Drosophila melanogaster: one gene and its partners. The protein of the gene in region 3 interacts with the protein of the main gene of each other region in a pairwise test. Each region holds a gene or a part of one and is shown on either strand. Other genes may lie near its edges.

Region 1 (4,775 bases), on a different chromosome or scaffold from region 3:
TTATCGGTGCTTTTCCCGCTACTTGCTATTATCGCCACATTTCCCGCTACAGTTTTTCTCTCTCCTACTTTTGCATTCACTGCTTCTTTTTCTATGGCATCTTGGCAATATTTCGATGGTTGTGTAGCTTAGCAGATAATATCCGGAGATCCGATGGCCATGATGAGAACTAATATAACAGCGATCTGGACCATTCCCACCAATACGGTTTTGAGCAACTTCAAACGCACCTTGGGCTCCACGTCACAACGAACGGGTGGATCGGGCGCTCTACGAGTTATTACTTTCCTGGTCTTCTTTGGTCGCGAATCGAGATTGGATTCCAACGCGTCTTCCTCTTGCACTTTGCCGTTCGGCTCCTCCACTTTCATTCGCTTCCTTGTCCTGGGACTGGGATTGGGTGTAAAGTCTGGTGAACTAATTTCCTCTTCCGCTTCTCGAATTTTCTCCAACTTGGACAATTCCACGTCCGTTTGAGTGGTATTGTTCACCTGACAAGGACATTCAGTTAGACGATCGCCCTGCTCCTCTGATTTCACTGCAGGAGTAGGAGGAGCAGCAGCAGCAGCAGCATCATCCACGCCCACTTCGTTGAGACGCACCGAGAGGCGTGAATAGGCAATGGCTCCGCCATAATGGGCCATAGTTGCTCCACCGCCACCCGCCTCGCGTGTGGCCACCTCAAGCTGTTCGACGGTGTTAGCATCCATGATTTTTGAATCCGCATAGGCCAGACTATTGAAGAACATTGTGTCCTGATCCAAAAGATTAAAGGATCCCCCAGCGCCGGGCACTTTTCGCAGTTGCTGAAACAGCATATTCGGATTCTTACGCAACTGACGAAAGTTGGTGCACTGCAATGGATCATCCTCGTTGAGCTGGACCAATGGCGGTTCCTCTTTGGGTGCCGGTAAATAGAAGCATTGCGACTCATCCGCCGTCTTTAGCTCGTTAAGTGTTTTGGTCTCGATGCGAAACTCTTGGACAAAGCCCACATGGCAAACGGTGCCAATGATGCGTGCCCGCATCTCAATAGCTGGTATATATTCCAAGCGCAAACAACACAATTTCCTAATGGGCAGCTCGTCCAATTGATTGGGACTGGTGCGCGGTGTGTAGAAACGTCCAGATGATTGCCGGCTTATATCCGTAATGATTACGTTGCTTCTCGGCTTGGGTATATTGGTGGCCCTTAGTGTCGCCTCCAGTTTTTCGCTCACCTTATGCAGCATATGTATCTCATGCTGCAGCACGGGCAGTTTCTTTGACACCTGATCCAATTCCAATTGGCGCTGCTCCTTCTCGTACTGATCCTTTTCCAGCTGGCGCTGATTATTGTGCCTGTGGCACACCTCCTCCAATTGCAACCTCAAACGGTCCTGACTGCCAACCGCCTTCGACTCGAATTGCTGCTGGCGCTGCAGCATGGCCGCCAATGTGGGACTATCCAACTGGCTGGAGGTGGTCGATGTGCTCTGTGCCAGTCCCTCGACGGGCGAGAGTGTGTATCCCTCGCCGGCGCCACGGCTGCATAGAGCCTCCTCGGAAATGGTCCTCTGCAGCTTGAATGTCTCCTGTTCCTGCAAGCTAAACTCACCATCCTTTGGGCCATTCAAGTGCTCGCTGCTAGCGCGCAATTTTCTGGCAGTCAACAGAGCTTTGACCTTCTTCACCGGCTTGCATACATAGACGAAACTCTTGTTCCCCTCATCCGGCAGGCGTATGGCCTTGGCCAATTTGATCTTGTCGTGATCCATTGAGCTGCCGCTGTCGCTTATTAGCTTATCATCACTGCCGTCCTGCAGAATGCTGCTCTCGCTGTCATGTGGTGTATTCACCAAATGTTTAGCCTTGTGATTGCCCAATGGCAACGTCTGAGATTGCTCCACCGTGACCTCAGTGGTCAGAGCTTCGCGATATTGATTCTTCCTCGGCGATTTGTCCGCTCTGTTTGGCAATTTGGCCACTCGGGGCAGGAAACTACGCTGACGACTGGCAGTGGTGACATTCTTATTGGTGCTTGCATGGGTGCTGCTTAGGAACAACGGAGGGACCGGTATTCCGGACTTTGGTGGTTGTGCGTAACGATGTCTGGGCGACAATTGACTGGTCCAATCCTGTCCAGCTGTGTTGCAGTTTCGAGCCGAACGATTGCTGTTGTTAACTGAACAAAAAAAAAAAAAAAAAAGAAAACAAAATAAGAAAAAAAAATCTGAGATCTTTGGTTGGACGAAACTTACCGGTGGGCAGGCCACGCGACAGCATCTCCGTTCTGGTGTAGGTCATCTTGCGGCGGACATTCTGATTGCCCGTCGCTTGTCCCTCGTTGCCGACGTGATTACCCTGGTCGCCGCCCAGCTGAACCTGTGCCTGTCCCTGCATTTGGATGACTTGCGGCAGTCCCTCCTGGCCGCGATCTAACTGGCGTATCTGATTGATTCGATTGCGATTCATGTTGGTTGCTCCGCTACAGCGATCTATTGCGACATCTGCTATATATATATATATATATATATATATATAATATGTGACCTTCGTTTTGTGTTCGATTTATTGTAATGTCGAGCTTATAAAATAAATATTGGGAGTGGGAGCACTGTTCTAGTCGACTGACTGAGTGAAACGAACAGCTGGGACTAAAATCGAAATCGAACTTGACAGCCGAACGCCGGGTGTTCAAGGACTGCTGCGATGCCATTTCCAAAGCCATCTAGTTGATCCTAGTAGTTTTTTTTTTAGCATCATGGAATTCTTCTTGTTATGTGGCTATGCTATTGATTTCTTTTAGTGACCAAAAGTGCATTGGCGCCCCAGCATTCCGTGCCTTGCCGGGCATCGACAACTGGTGCGAGATCAATTGCCTGCGCTATCCGCCCAATTGTCCGGAGGACGCCTGCCAATGTCCGTAAGTATGCACATGAATAATATGTATCTAACGAGATACATACATAGCAAGTTCGAATCTAAACCCATATCAATTGCACAGTCAGGAGTGCGTGGCCATTGGCGAGTATGCTGGACAGGATGGTGCCGACACCTACTGCATGGACAAGTGTCTCAACTATGAATCGGAGTGTCCGCCGGACAGATGCCGCTGCTACTAAACCGGATTGCGAGCCACAGCTGTGCTGCCCACCCATTGCCCATGCGGAGGATGCGAGATGCGATATGCGAGATCTAATGAATTGAATTTAATCGAAGACACTGCTCTAAATTGTTTGAATTTCAATGGCTTGGCAAGGGGGGGTGCCTCCGTTTGTTGGGCTTTCCGTTTCAGTTCTCAGGCGTCACCGCAAGCCTTACTTACTCCCTCCTGTACGCGTCGTACAGAAAGGGTCGGGTGAATGCCTCGAGCAGCTCGCGCTGTTCGCGCAATCGTCGAGTCTGCGCCATCGGCGACTCAGCGATGTCGATGTTCCGCCGGGCACGGAAAAGTGCCGATACCGTGCTGCCCAGCTGCTGCCAGCGTTCGAAGGCCCGGGATTCGGTGTGCGGCGCATCGAGCATTACTTTGGACGACATCACTGATGCCGACAATTCAGCGATCTGTGCAGCAGCAGCAGCAGCAGCAATGTCTGTGCTGTTGGTTTCCGGTTGAGGTTGCTGTTCAGATTCCAGATTGAACTGAGATTGGGACTGGAGGTCGGGCTCCGTTTCCGGCTCAGATTTGCCAGGAGATGGCAAGTCAACGGACAGCTCATCGGGTGGCGGCATTGTCTGACTGAAGATGAGCACCTCGGCGCGCTCCTCGCGAGCATCATCCTCGCTATCCTCCAGGGGCAGGGCGTCGGTGCTGCCGCTAACTAAATCCCGCACGTGCGCAAAACTGGAAGCGATGCGACGCAGTGAGGGGTCATCCTTTTCCTTTTTCGTCGGCATTGCCGGCGCATCGGCATTGGTTTCCACCGGCGCCTTCTTGCTGTAGGCAGCATCCATTGTGGTTGCTTTGGTGGCGATGACATCGCCGGCATTGGTCGTCTGCTTCTGGCGCATCCTATGCAGATTTATGCTGGAAAATTTGTTACCATAGCTTTGACGCATCTCGGCGCGCTTGCGACGCGCCTCCTCCTCCGTCCTGGCCGCCTGTTGGTCCCTGGCCATCAGTTGCTGCGCCTTTGACATCGTCTAACTCCAAACAGGAAAACGAAATACGGCAAATCTTTAGTTAACACTAGCAAAAAGGAAAAAAAAAAAAAAAACAAAACAAAACACGGACCGAAACGAGCGCTGAGAATTTCGAGAGTTTCAAATGTGCGTCGATTGACTTGGTTACCAATTTGTTTTCAGAAATATAAATACGGTAGCGTGCACTGGAACAGCTTTTGCACAACCTACCAGGATCCTATGTACTACTAATTAACTACTCAATTTTCGCTCGCTTTCAATCACATCTTTAATAGATCATCCTCAATCATCTTAAGCATAGTCTTAACAACTCATGTTGGGTGGCGAAAAGGTTTTGCCAAGCGAGAAAAATTCATATCAATTAGAATGGAGTGGAGCTTTTGGAGTGGATGCAATGCATCCTTAAGCCTTTCAATAGAACTTATTGTGCATGTCTGCGGTGAACAACGTAACGCGATCACAAACATCAATGTTATAATGGAAAGTGTGTGTTAACTGAGTGAGTGTGTGTGGGTGTGTGTGTGTGTGTGTGTGTGTGTGTGTGTGCTAGAACTGCAGCCGCTTCTTCTGGGCCAATCCATTGCCCCTCACCGTAGTCTCGACCAGCTTGCGCTTGAGCGCAGGCTTCGTGTCGCCGGTCTGCGGATTGG
Region 2 (4,698 bases), on a different chromosome or scaffold from region 3:
CCAGCATTTCGGACTAAGGAAATTAATGACAGGAAATACTGAAAAACCTTTTGGCAATTACAAGAAAGAGAACAAAAATGGAACAAACTCAGTCAGCAAAATAAAAAAAAAACAACAAAAAAGGCGTTTCGGATACAAAATTCTAAAATTCAGGTATTACAAAGAAAACAAAAATACAGATAGTGTTGTATAATGTTAAAAACAATTTTTGAACAAAGTAAAAATGAAAGATGAACTATTTAGCTATTTATACAAACGAGGCAAGTGGGTAAACTTTGCGAGTACGTGTAAAATTTATAAGGTGCTTTTATAACAAAATATTTGGTAGAGAAGCGAAGGACCTCCTCCCCCACATTAATATATATAAATATACATCTATTTTTCTCGAAGTGCAACCACTGTATTTTAAAATGCTTTTAAACGATGGTGATTTAGAAACAAAGCCCAAAAAGGGCTGAAACACTTGTAATTCAGTTGTGAGCGATTCGCACATTTTGACGATAATGGAGAGTGTGTTTTTTATAGTTTTTAATCGAGGAGGGCATTTCAAGCCGTATCTGTACTCTCCTCAAAACATAGAGCTCAATATATATCTAAATACATCAGATTGATGGCATCATTAGTGGCAATCGAGATTACACACTGTTGTTTGCGGTTTGTTTAGTTAATTGTTAAAAGGAAAACGTAAACCAATAGATATTCTTAAAACGCGACTTTTGAGTTTTGTAGTGAATTTACCGACTTATCGTTTGCAATTGACTTTTGAAGGCTTTGTAAAATATAAAAGAAAAGAATGCATATATATATACATACAACTTATTTGTGAAGTTAACTAATAAGCCAGTTAATGTGAAACATATTTTGTAAGCCACGAATAACTTAAGACAAATTACGAATATTAAAATAACATACAAGATACAAATACGAACATAAACAGGATAGCTTAAAAACAACAAATATTTAAGCACTCAACCGTGCAAATCTCATCCGATCGTTAAGAACACGTCTAAGACAGGGCTTTCAGAATCAAGAATTTAATAAGTAGGATCCATCTTAGGAGGAGGGAGTGCGATGCCCTGCACCTCAAAGACGAACGGTCATCACCAACAATCCACACACACACTCAAAACACACACTCATATATATGTATAAATAATATATACGACGATTAATTTATTGAATAAAACAGAAATAAACATTCATAATTTTCAAAATGGCATTTATTTATGGTGGTTCGTAAATACTTAACTATTATTGTCTTATTGTTAAATGGAACTTTTTGAGGTGCATTTTTTATCAAGTATTGTTAAATCAATACATAAATGAAGAATTGAAGTAATAAAATAACCTTTTCTTAAAACAAAATCGTATTGTTGATGAACAATTTGGAACAATTAGAAATAAATAAGTTACATAATTTATTGAGACTAGCAGTATTGTTCGATTGGCCACCGCTGATGATAACCACCTCACTTCGATTCCGCCACCTCCACGGGCACCTCCTGGATAATACTTCTCGCTGAGGATAGTACACTGATATCAGCGCAGTTAATAAAGGTTTCCTGCGCCCCACAACCCATGGCGCCCGTCCCATCCTCACAAACACCCCAATTATTTCCCGCCGTGTAAGTCCAGCGCAAAACGCAATGAATGCAGTTGAGATCACTGGGCAGTTTCACGGTTACTGGGATATCGCCAGTGGTGGTGTTAATGTAGTACTTCTGGCTACCGTCGGTGAAATTCAAAGGATATTGGTTAAAGCAATCCTCCGACTCGCTGCCATTTTCGTCCAAATCGCAGATGTGGAAGCGGAAGTAGCCCAGATGATTGGCTGTGATCTTAACATTAATTTCCGCTTCATCTACTCCGGCAAAGCTCTTTACAATCACTCCACTGCCATATTTTCCACCCAACTCATTGGGTCGCGGCTGCTCCAAGCTCCAGTCGTCTCCGCACAGTCCACATTTGCCATCATTTTCGGTTTGTTTCTAAAGGGTTAAGAACATCATTGAATCAAATGAATATAGAATTTTTTTAAGGCACTCCTACCCAAAATCCACCGCAATATAATGCATTGTCATCGTAGTTTGTTGGCGCCGAGTTATCGTAGCGCCAACGCGAGGATCTTCCGGTTGGACTTAACATCATACCGTGGCCCTCCAGTTCACCCATCCGGTTTAAAAAACCCATGCTAAGAAACAGGATAAATTTATACGTATTCATATTGATTTCACTTTCTTTGTGGCCAAAACGAACTGGTCGTGGCCTTATATAGTTCCATATTGCCAAACCTTATCAGTTGCCGGGCAGTTTATGTTTGTTTTTGATTTTTCGTCCAATAACCGTGAATGCATCTTATCGGCTCACAATCTTAATTTCGTTTATGGTTATTGGTAGTTAGAATTTGGGAGAATTTCTTGTATCTGACCTGGAAAGTGTGAAAACACATATGACACATCTAAGCAATACCCGTATTTTTTGGTAACCTAATCATAATAACTTGGAAGACTGCTTTATTATGCTATTATTATTTAGCCCACCAATGCCATTTTGATAGGAGTTCAAAGGCTTGGAAAAATTCTCACGATTTCGCAAAATTTGTTAGCCAAGGTCAACGATTCTTAAGTGCAATTACTTACTATTTTAGTTGGTTTTGACTTCAGCACTTTTCTGCCAATCATATATTGTAGTACGGTCCATACAATAGCCAAAAACGCAAATGTTTTTTTAAACAACAAATTTAGAGCACTTGCGCGCAGCTAAAAAAAATTGGCCACGTTTAAGTTCAGGGATTAAGCTGCTCGTATATTAATAAATCAGCAATTATTTAGTTTCGATTATTCCATGATGCCTCCAGATAAAACATGCGAGTACTTTGAAGCCACTATTTTCCTTTTTCATGGCCCTTTGGCTCAAAATAAGACATATATTTTAGCACATACTGCAAAAAAAGATGCATATCTATCTTCAGATTTCATAAATTTAAATTGCCCTATAAACACAATCTATTTGGTCAACTTTTGCGGTTATATGCTTTTGTTTTATCGATACAACGTGTTCTCAGAATCATCAATTAAGCATTAATAATCAAGGTGAAAGCGAACAAAATATTGAAATTTGCAATGAAAAGAATCGAACTATAAGTAACGTAATTCTGTTCTTTAAAGCCACTTCGCCTTCAATTTACACACTATTATTGTTATTATATATAAACAAATTTCTATTATTTTTTTTTGCTTGCTTTTTAGGTCAAAACCTAGCAGAAATACTGTATACCTGAAGGCCGTAGAACATTAACAAATTCTGATTTATACAATTTGTTGCATAGTTTTGGACTTAAAAAATATTGGTTATGATGTGTCTATCTCTAACATCTGTTTAAATAATGTATCTAAATTGGATAAGATCTCAAAATTAAACAGTAAATAAAACTAAATTTCTATAAATAGGAAGCAGCTCCAAGGACCCAATTAACTAATGTGTAAATGTTCACTCATTTATTTAAATAACTTTAGCTGACTATTTGGCATTTTGCATTTTCAGACATAAATGGCAGTTCGTTGAATTTTAGTCTGGATTTTCAGGCGACCTCAACCGGAGCCACTGGATCTCCGCCACCGACCAATTCCTTGACCAGGTTGCGACCCCAGTAGATGCTCACATCGGCGCAGTTCTTGAATGTTTCCTGTGGGCCACAGCCCAAGGCTCCGTTTCCGGAATTATCGCAGATGCCCCAGTTGTTGGCTGAAATGCACAAGATGTTCAATTAATTTTCACTTTAAGTTCCATTTACGTTCTGGCCACCACTTACCACCCACATAGGTCCAGCGGAGGACGCAGTGAGAGCAGGTAAGACCCTCCGGCAGGACGACTGTCACATCGAATTCGCCCATCTGATCGCCGATATCCTTTCTATCGCTTCCATCGATGAATCGCAGGCGGTTCTGATCGAAGCACTCCTCCGACTCGGCACCGAAGGCGTCCAGGTTGCACAGGTGGAACTCGAAGTAACCCAAGTGATTGGTGGTGATCTTCACGCCCACGGTGATGGTATTGCCAGCCACGTAGCTCCTGGTCACCACACCAGCTCCACCGATGCTTCCTCCGATCTCGTTGGCACGGGGCTGGGCATCCAGGAAGTTGTCGCCGCACAGACCACAGCGACCTCCATTGTTGGACTGCGTCTGCGGGTTTACGAAAACATATTTGATGGTAAACGTTTTGAAGGTCCTCGTTTATAAAGAATACGACATCTTTTCGTACCGTTGAAATCAGATTAAATAATGGCATACCATAAGAAAGAATACTATTGATGTCCCTAGAACATGATTAACCAACACTGGAATAGGTTTCTAATTTAGTGTTGGTATTCCATATTTGATTTCCATTGAAGATGCCACTTTAAGAATGCGCCCCGAATAATTTGGTAATGAATCGTTTAAGAATAACAAATTTTAGTTTCTAACATAAAGCCTTGGCTAAAAGTTTTGCCATTTGCTTTAGCCCACTGAAGAGCATCACCATTAAGAATCCCATGCATGTGCCACACTAATCTTCAATTATCGTAGATCCTTGTGGTTATCCAATTATCCAATTGATCCGACACTTACGTACAAACCGCCGCAGAAGAGTTCGTTGTCGTTCCAGTTCTGGGGTGCGGATCCATCGTAGCGCCAACGGGAGGATCGGCTCGGCGGG
Region 3 (4,775 bases):
CAATGCGGCTGCAAGAGATTAGAGATATAGATTAGGTATTTTTTCATGAATTTTGATGGTTATCAGTTAGGTGTGTGTCGGCTGGAACGTGTCGAAGACAAGAGGATTGGACTGTGTGAATATTTGGATTTCTCATGAAATTTACCTAGACGCACACATCTTTCTTCTGCGACGCATTTCATCCGACCCAGACCCTGACCCAGACACACTAAAAGACATCACCAACTTTGGGATTAGTTCCGCCGGCCTTTCGCACTTGCTTACCCGGAATTTGACCAATTGGCATGCTCGCCATAGCTCATGTTGATCACATCGATGCGTCTGCCATCGCGACATAGTTCCATCACCTTAGTCATGGCACGCACTAGTGCCGTGCCGGTCTCCATAGACCCAAGTCGACCATCACCGATGGTCATAGAAACGATCTTAGCATTCGGCGCCACGCCATCCACGTCCCGGGAGCTATGGTTGCCGCTGGCAATAGACGATACGTGGGTGCCGTGGGGTGAGCTCATGCCGACCACCTCCAGTACGTTGCCCTCGTCGTGGACGTTTACCGATATGGAAAGAAAGTCGTCCACATTGCGGGTCTCGTGCGTGCGGGAATACTCGCCAATGCGCAGAGCCTGATCCAGATCGCCCTGCTCCGTGGTGTCGACGATTGTCAGCCATCCGTCGGCCGTGGGAAAAAGGATGCAATCGTAGGAGGTCTTAATGTCGCCGTACACCTTCTCGTAGCTATTCAACATCTCTAGCTCAAAGTCTAGATTCTCTTTCAATATCTTCTTGTCCCAGGGCAGTTTTGAGGCTTCTCCTGCAAAGATACATATGTTGTTGGTAATTTTGCCTCAAGTAATCAATCACTTAGCTCACCTGGATTTTGTGACTCAAATTCAACAATCTTGCGACTGGCGTTTGCAGTGGCCGTCTTGTGCGGCTTGTCCCAGTGCTTCAGCTTGGCCTGGGCCACAATGTTGTTCCGCACCTTGGAGGGCAACAAATCGCTGAAGCTCTTGAGGCCTACCCGCACCGCCTTCTCCGGATCTGTGTTCAGAGCCATCAGCTCCGGACTCAGCTTGAGCGAGTTTCCGGACAGGCCCTTAATGTTGCCGTTCTCGTCCGGCGTCACCTTCTTCTTCATGTCCACGTCGCCGCATCCGGAACAGTCGTACCGCTCTATTACTTTAACGGTCTTTCCATCGCACAGCGTCTGTTGCGTAGGAGCAGATTGAAATTGGATCGGTTATAATGAGAAACGGGAGTAAGAAGCAGTCGTGACACAGTAGAAGGATTAAATCGTAATAGAATAGGTAAGACGAAATATTGTAAATATTGGAAGAATAACTGTACAAGTTCTTTGTAACCGGTATAGAGAGTGCGAAAAAGTGCCAACTCACCTCCAGTCCCGTTGCCCGGGGATCGACGCCGGAATCGAAGATGGCTATGGTGACGTCGCGTCCATCGTACTCCGGGTACTTCTGCAGAAAGTTCAGGACTCCCGTCTCCGCCTTGGGCACCAGTGCGCCCGTGGGAAATGACTCGACAATACCGCTGGTGGCCATCCTGCTCTCCGCTGATTTGTCGCTCTGCTCTTTGTTGGTAGTCTTCTTGCTGCTATTGCTGCGCTCAGAACTCTCTGCGAATTCCTTCGTAGCTGTTCAATGAAGAATCGGATTGGTAAGACCGAGATCTGAGTGCAAAAAAATGGTCCAGCTGGATGTACGAAAAGTGCATTGGGAAAAATACCAACCCGAATAGAGCGTAAAACGGTCACGCAGCTTTACACTGGAATTTGTTTTCTATATACTTTCGAGCTTTGAAATTGATTATAAACATTGCGTACATTTATCAGCTCTACTAGATATATCAGATCTATTTACAAATTATTTAAGCCAACTATTGGTCAAAAACTATTTTCAAATCAACATTGACGTTTTTCTAAACGCAGTAGCAGAATAGAATTCAGTCACCGTTACTTTCTTATCGTTACTGGCCCACCTCTAGTTCAACATTCAAGTTTTTGGTATATTTTGTAAGGCTACCTGTATATTGGAACGGACTATCCACGGTCACACTGGGTGTCGTCTTGCAGTAAATATCATAACAATCTATTTCCATTGACAATATGTGGTTCGAAATCCTACCTGGTGCGGTGATCATCACCACGCTCCTCTCGGTGCCCATATACGCCATGTACGGCCTGGACAAGCTGATGATCGGCAATGTGAGTCCCACGCTGGCCTTCTGGCCCAGCAGCCCGAAATTCTTATATAACCGCAGCTGTTTGTGCACCAATCGGAATCTGTTAAACATTATTTAACCGCCTGCTTTTCGCAACGAGTTCGACGGAACACTACGGAGTTACTAATTGTTTGCTAATCGTTTGCTCAACAGGCTTTCCGGCGCAACATGGACGAGCGTTTCAGCCGAGTTATGTACCAGCGCGATTTCCGACTGACCGACAATCCCTACAAGATGAACGTAAGTGTTGTGCTATAGTCTGGCCTGCCTACAACTGATTTTTGTGCGGCAGGCCAACCATCACGTTTTTACCCTATTTTTGGCAGCAGTTTTGTTATCTCACAGCACGCACTTCATTATTATGCACGCTCATTTTGGTTTCGTTGTTTATGTTTTTCTCTGAAGTATGTTAAATAGATTGTTTTTGGTGTTATGAACTAGCTTTCTTCACTAATAAAATATTAGTTTTAAAGTTTTCTATATTATAAGGTAATTGCATTTAAAATCTTAGTTTTCTTGGTTAATTTCGTTTTTATTGTTTATTGATCATTGGTGGCGGTAGTTAATGTTACTTTATTTCCTACGAATTCATACCATCCATTTTTTTACGCTTATTCGAAGAGTTATAAGCTTAAATCATTTACAAAAAACCGAACCAATCTTCTTGCAGGGTCTGGATGCCATACCGGATGAGAAAACGAACTAATTTTAATTAAGTAAAGTTTTCCGTTTAAGCTTAAGTGCAAAAGTGAATAAACGAAACGTGCAGTTCGGAAGTGATAGTTGAAATGGTCGTTTTTGGTTTTTCCTGTAGTTCCTTACAGATTTTTTTTTGCTGCCTCAGGTGTAAAGCTTCTTTCTCTATAGGGTCTTGAACAAATTCCCGATGAAGAGGTGAAGAAGGAGGAGAAGGACCCCAATGAGGACAGCGATGATCCCGCAATCGTGAAGAAGCGGGAGAAAGAGCGGAAGCTAAGGGAGAAACAGCTGAAGAAGGAGGAAAAGCTCAGGGAGAAACAGCTGAAGGAGGAGGAGAAGCAGAAGAAAAATTAATATCAATAAAAACAAACATTTCGCCAGTGGAGCTCTCAAGCCGAGCACAGGACTTTCGGCCGCCTTTGCCGCGCATTTAGCAACCCTGTGCTCGTGACAGGAAACCACCCCTAAGGGAGAAGTACGGGTGGCGAAACATCCCGTCGTCAGCTTTGTGTGGTATTCGGTGAAAAGGCGTCGTCGAGCTGTGTGCGCGGAAATAAACAAATATTCTGCCGACTTACTTCGAGCTTACTTCTTAAAATCTATTTTAAAATTCGGGTAGATTGAATATTGTGGTGTAAGGCGGTAAAATGCCTTAGTTTATGAGTGCTCGCAAGGATTTTGCTTGGAAACGGTTCGCTAAACAAGGCATATACATAAAACACAGCCATGGCTGCCGGGCAATGGGTGGGGGTGGTTGAGCGGGTGCTCCGGGGAATGGTGCTGAAATGGGGGGCCAATTTGGCTGTCCTGGGGCTGTGCGTGTTTCTCTTTGCCAGCGCCACGCACGCGAACTCCCTGAACGCCATCGAGGAGCCCGTCACCCGGCGACACCACCAGCGGCATCACGAGCGCGAGCGGGAGGAGAACGGCTACTGCGCCCCGTACAGCGGCAAGGTGTGCAAGGAATACCTCACCGGCCAGGTGTGGTACAGTCTGGAGGATCCCACTGGCGGGTGGAAGAACGAGCAGGTGACCACGGCGCTCTGGGACGAGCTTATCTCCGATCTTACGGGTCTGTGTCGCGAAGCAGCCGAGGTGAGTTTCGATTGATACATCTAGAGATCCCATCTCATCCCATTAATCTCTTTTCGCTACAGAAAATGCTCTGCGCCTATGCGTTTCCCAACTGCCACATGGAGGGCGGTCGAGCGGTGAAGGCTCCTCTCTGCTTCGAGGATTGCCAGGCCACGCATCTCCAGTTCTGCTACAACGACTGGGTGCTCATCGAGGAGAAGAAGGAGCGAAATATGTTCATCAAGAGCCGCGGCCACTTCCGGCTACCCAACTGCTCCTCCTTGCCGCACTACAACGCTTCCATGCGGCGACCCAACTGCTCCTACATCGGTCTCACCGAACTCAAGGAGTCCGAAGTGAGCTGTAAGTCTTCATTATCACAAACCCTCAAGAAGGTCTTTCTGATGCTAGAATCCCTTTTCTTCACAGACGATTGCCGCAATGGAAACGGACGCTTCTACATGGGCACAATGAACGTGTCCAAGTCGGGCATTCCCTGCCAGCGCTGGGACACTCAGTACCCGCACAAGCACTTCCAGCCACCACTGGTCTTCCATCAGCTCCTGGAGGGCGAAAACTACTGCCGGAATGCTGGCGGTGAGGAGCCGCATCCCTGGTGCTACACTGTGGATGAATCAGTGCGCTGGCAGCACTGCGATATACCCATGTGTCGTAAGATCATAAAATTTTTTCCTCTTTTACTTTTTGTAATTCACCCACTTCTGTTTTAGCGGATTATGTGGACCCCAATGCTGTCGATT

What was found.
Region 1: the proteins of TppII (region 3) and CG3323 interact in a two-hybrid assay, tested with the Drosophila melanogaster proteins (one large-scale study listed by BioGRID).
Region 2: the proteins of TppII (region 3) and CG4367 interact in a two-hybrid assay, tested with the Drosophila melanogaster proteins (one large-scale study listed by BioGRID).

The regions. Positions count from the first base shown.
Region 1 is NC_004354.4:5,303,091-5,307,865, forward strand, and holds the start of CG3323 (uncharacterized protein), read right to left. Parts: upstream 2,602-4,775; 5' UTR 2,455-2,601; coding exon 2,241-2,454; intron 2,165-2,240; coding exon 129-2,164; 3' UTR 1-128. Other genes in the region: CG42749 (uncharacterized protein), read left to right, coding at 2,789-2,905, 2,987-3,104; CG17764 (uncharacterized protein), read right to left, coding at 3,304-4,122; Cdk7 (Cyclin-dependent kinase 7), read right to left, coding at 4,672-4,775.
Region 2 is NT_033777.3:20,302,733-20,307,430, forward strand, and holds CG4367 (uncharacterized protein), read right to left. Parts: upstream 2,246-4,698; 5' UTR 2,224-2,245; coding exon 2,050-2,223; intron 1,989-2,049; coding exon 1,470-1,988; 3' UTR 1,223-1,469; downstream 1-1,222. Other genes in the region: CG4362 (uncharacterized protein), read right to left, coding at 3,581-3,744, 3,812-4,184, 4,611-4,698.
Region 3 is NT_033778.4:13,156,623-13,161,397, forward strand, and holds the start of TppII (Tripeptidyl-peptidase II), read right to left. Parts: upstream 2,520-4,775; 5' UTR 2,482-2,519; coding exon of another isoform or gene 2,395-2,481; 5' UTR 2,314-2,394; coding exon 2,145-2,313; coding exon of another isoform or gene 2,126-2,144; exon of another isoform or gene 2,044-2,125; intron 1,824-2,043; exon of another isoform or gene 1,751-1,823; intron 1,691-1,750; exon of another isoform or gene 1,655-1,690; coding exon 1,398-1,654; intron 1,211-1,397; coding exon 874-1,210; intron 815-873; coding exon 265-814; intron 209-264; coding exon of another isoform or gene 146-208; intron 9-145; coding exon 1-8. Other genes in the region: ND-MWFE (NADH dehydrogenase (ubiquinone) MWFE subunit), read left to right, coding at 2,126-2,224, 2,395-2,481, 3,109-3,294; Nrk (neurospecific receptor kinase), read left to right, coding at 3,667-4,035, 4,098-4,377, 4,444-4,686, 4,746-4,775. UniProt on the Drosophila melanogaster protein: Component of the proteolytic cascade acting downstream of the 26S proteasome in the ubiquitin-proteasome pathway. Efficiently cleaves Ala-Ala-Ala-polypeptide and Pro-Pro-Ala-polypeptide, Val-Leu-Lys-polypeptide only at high concentration.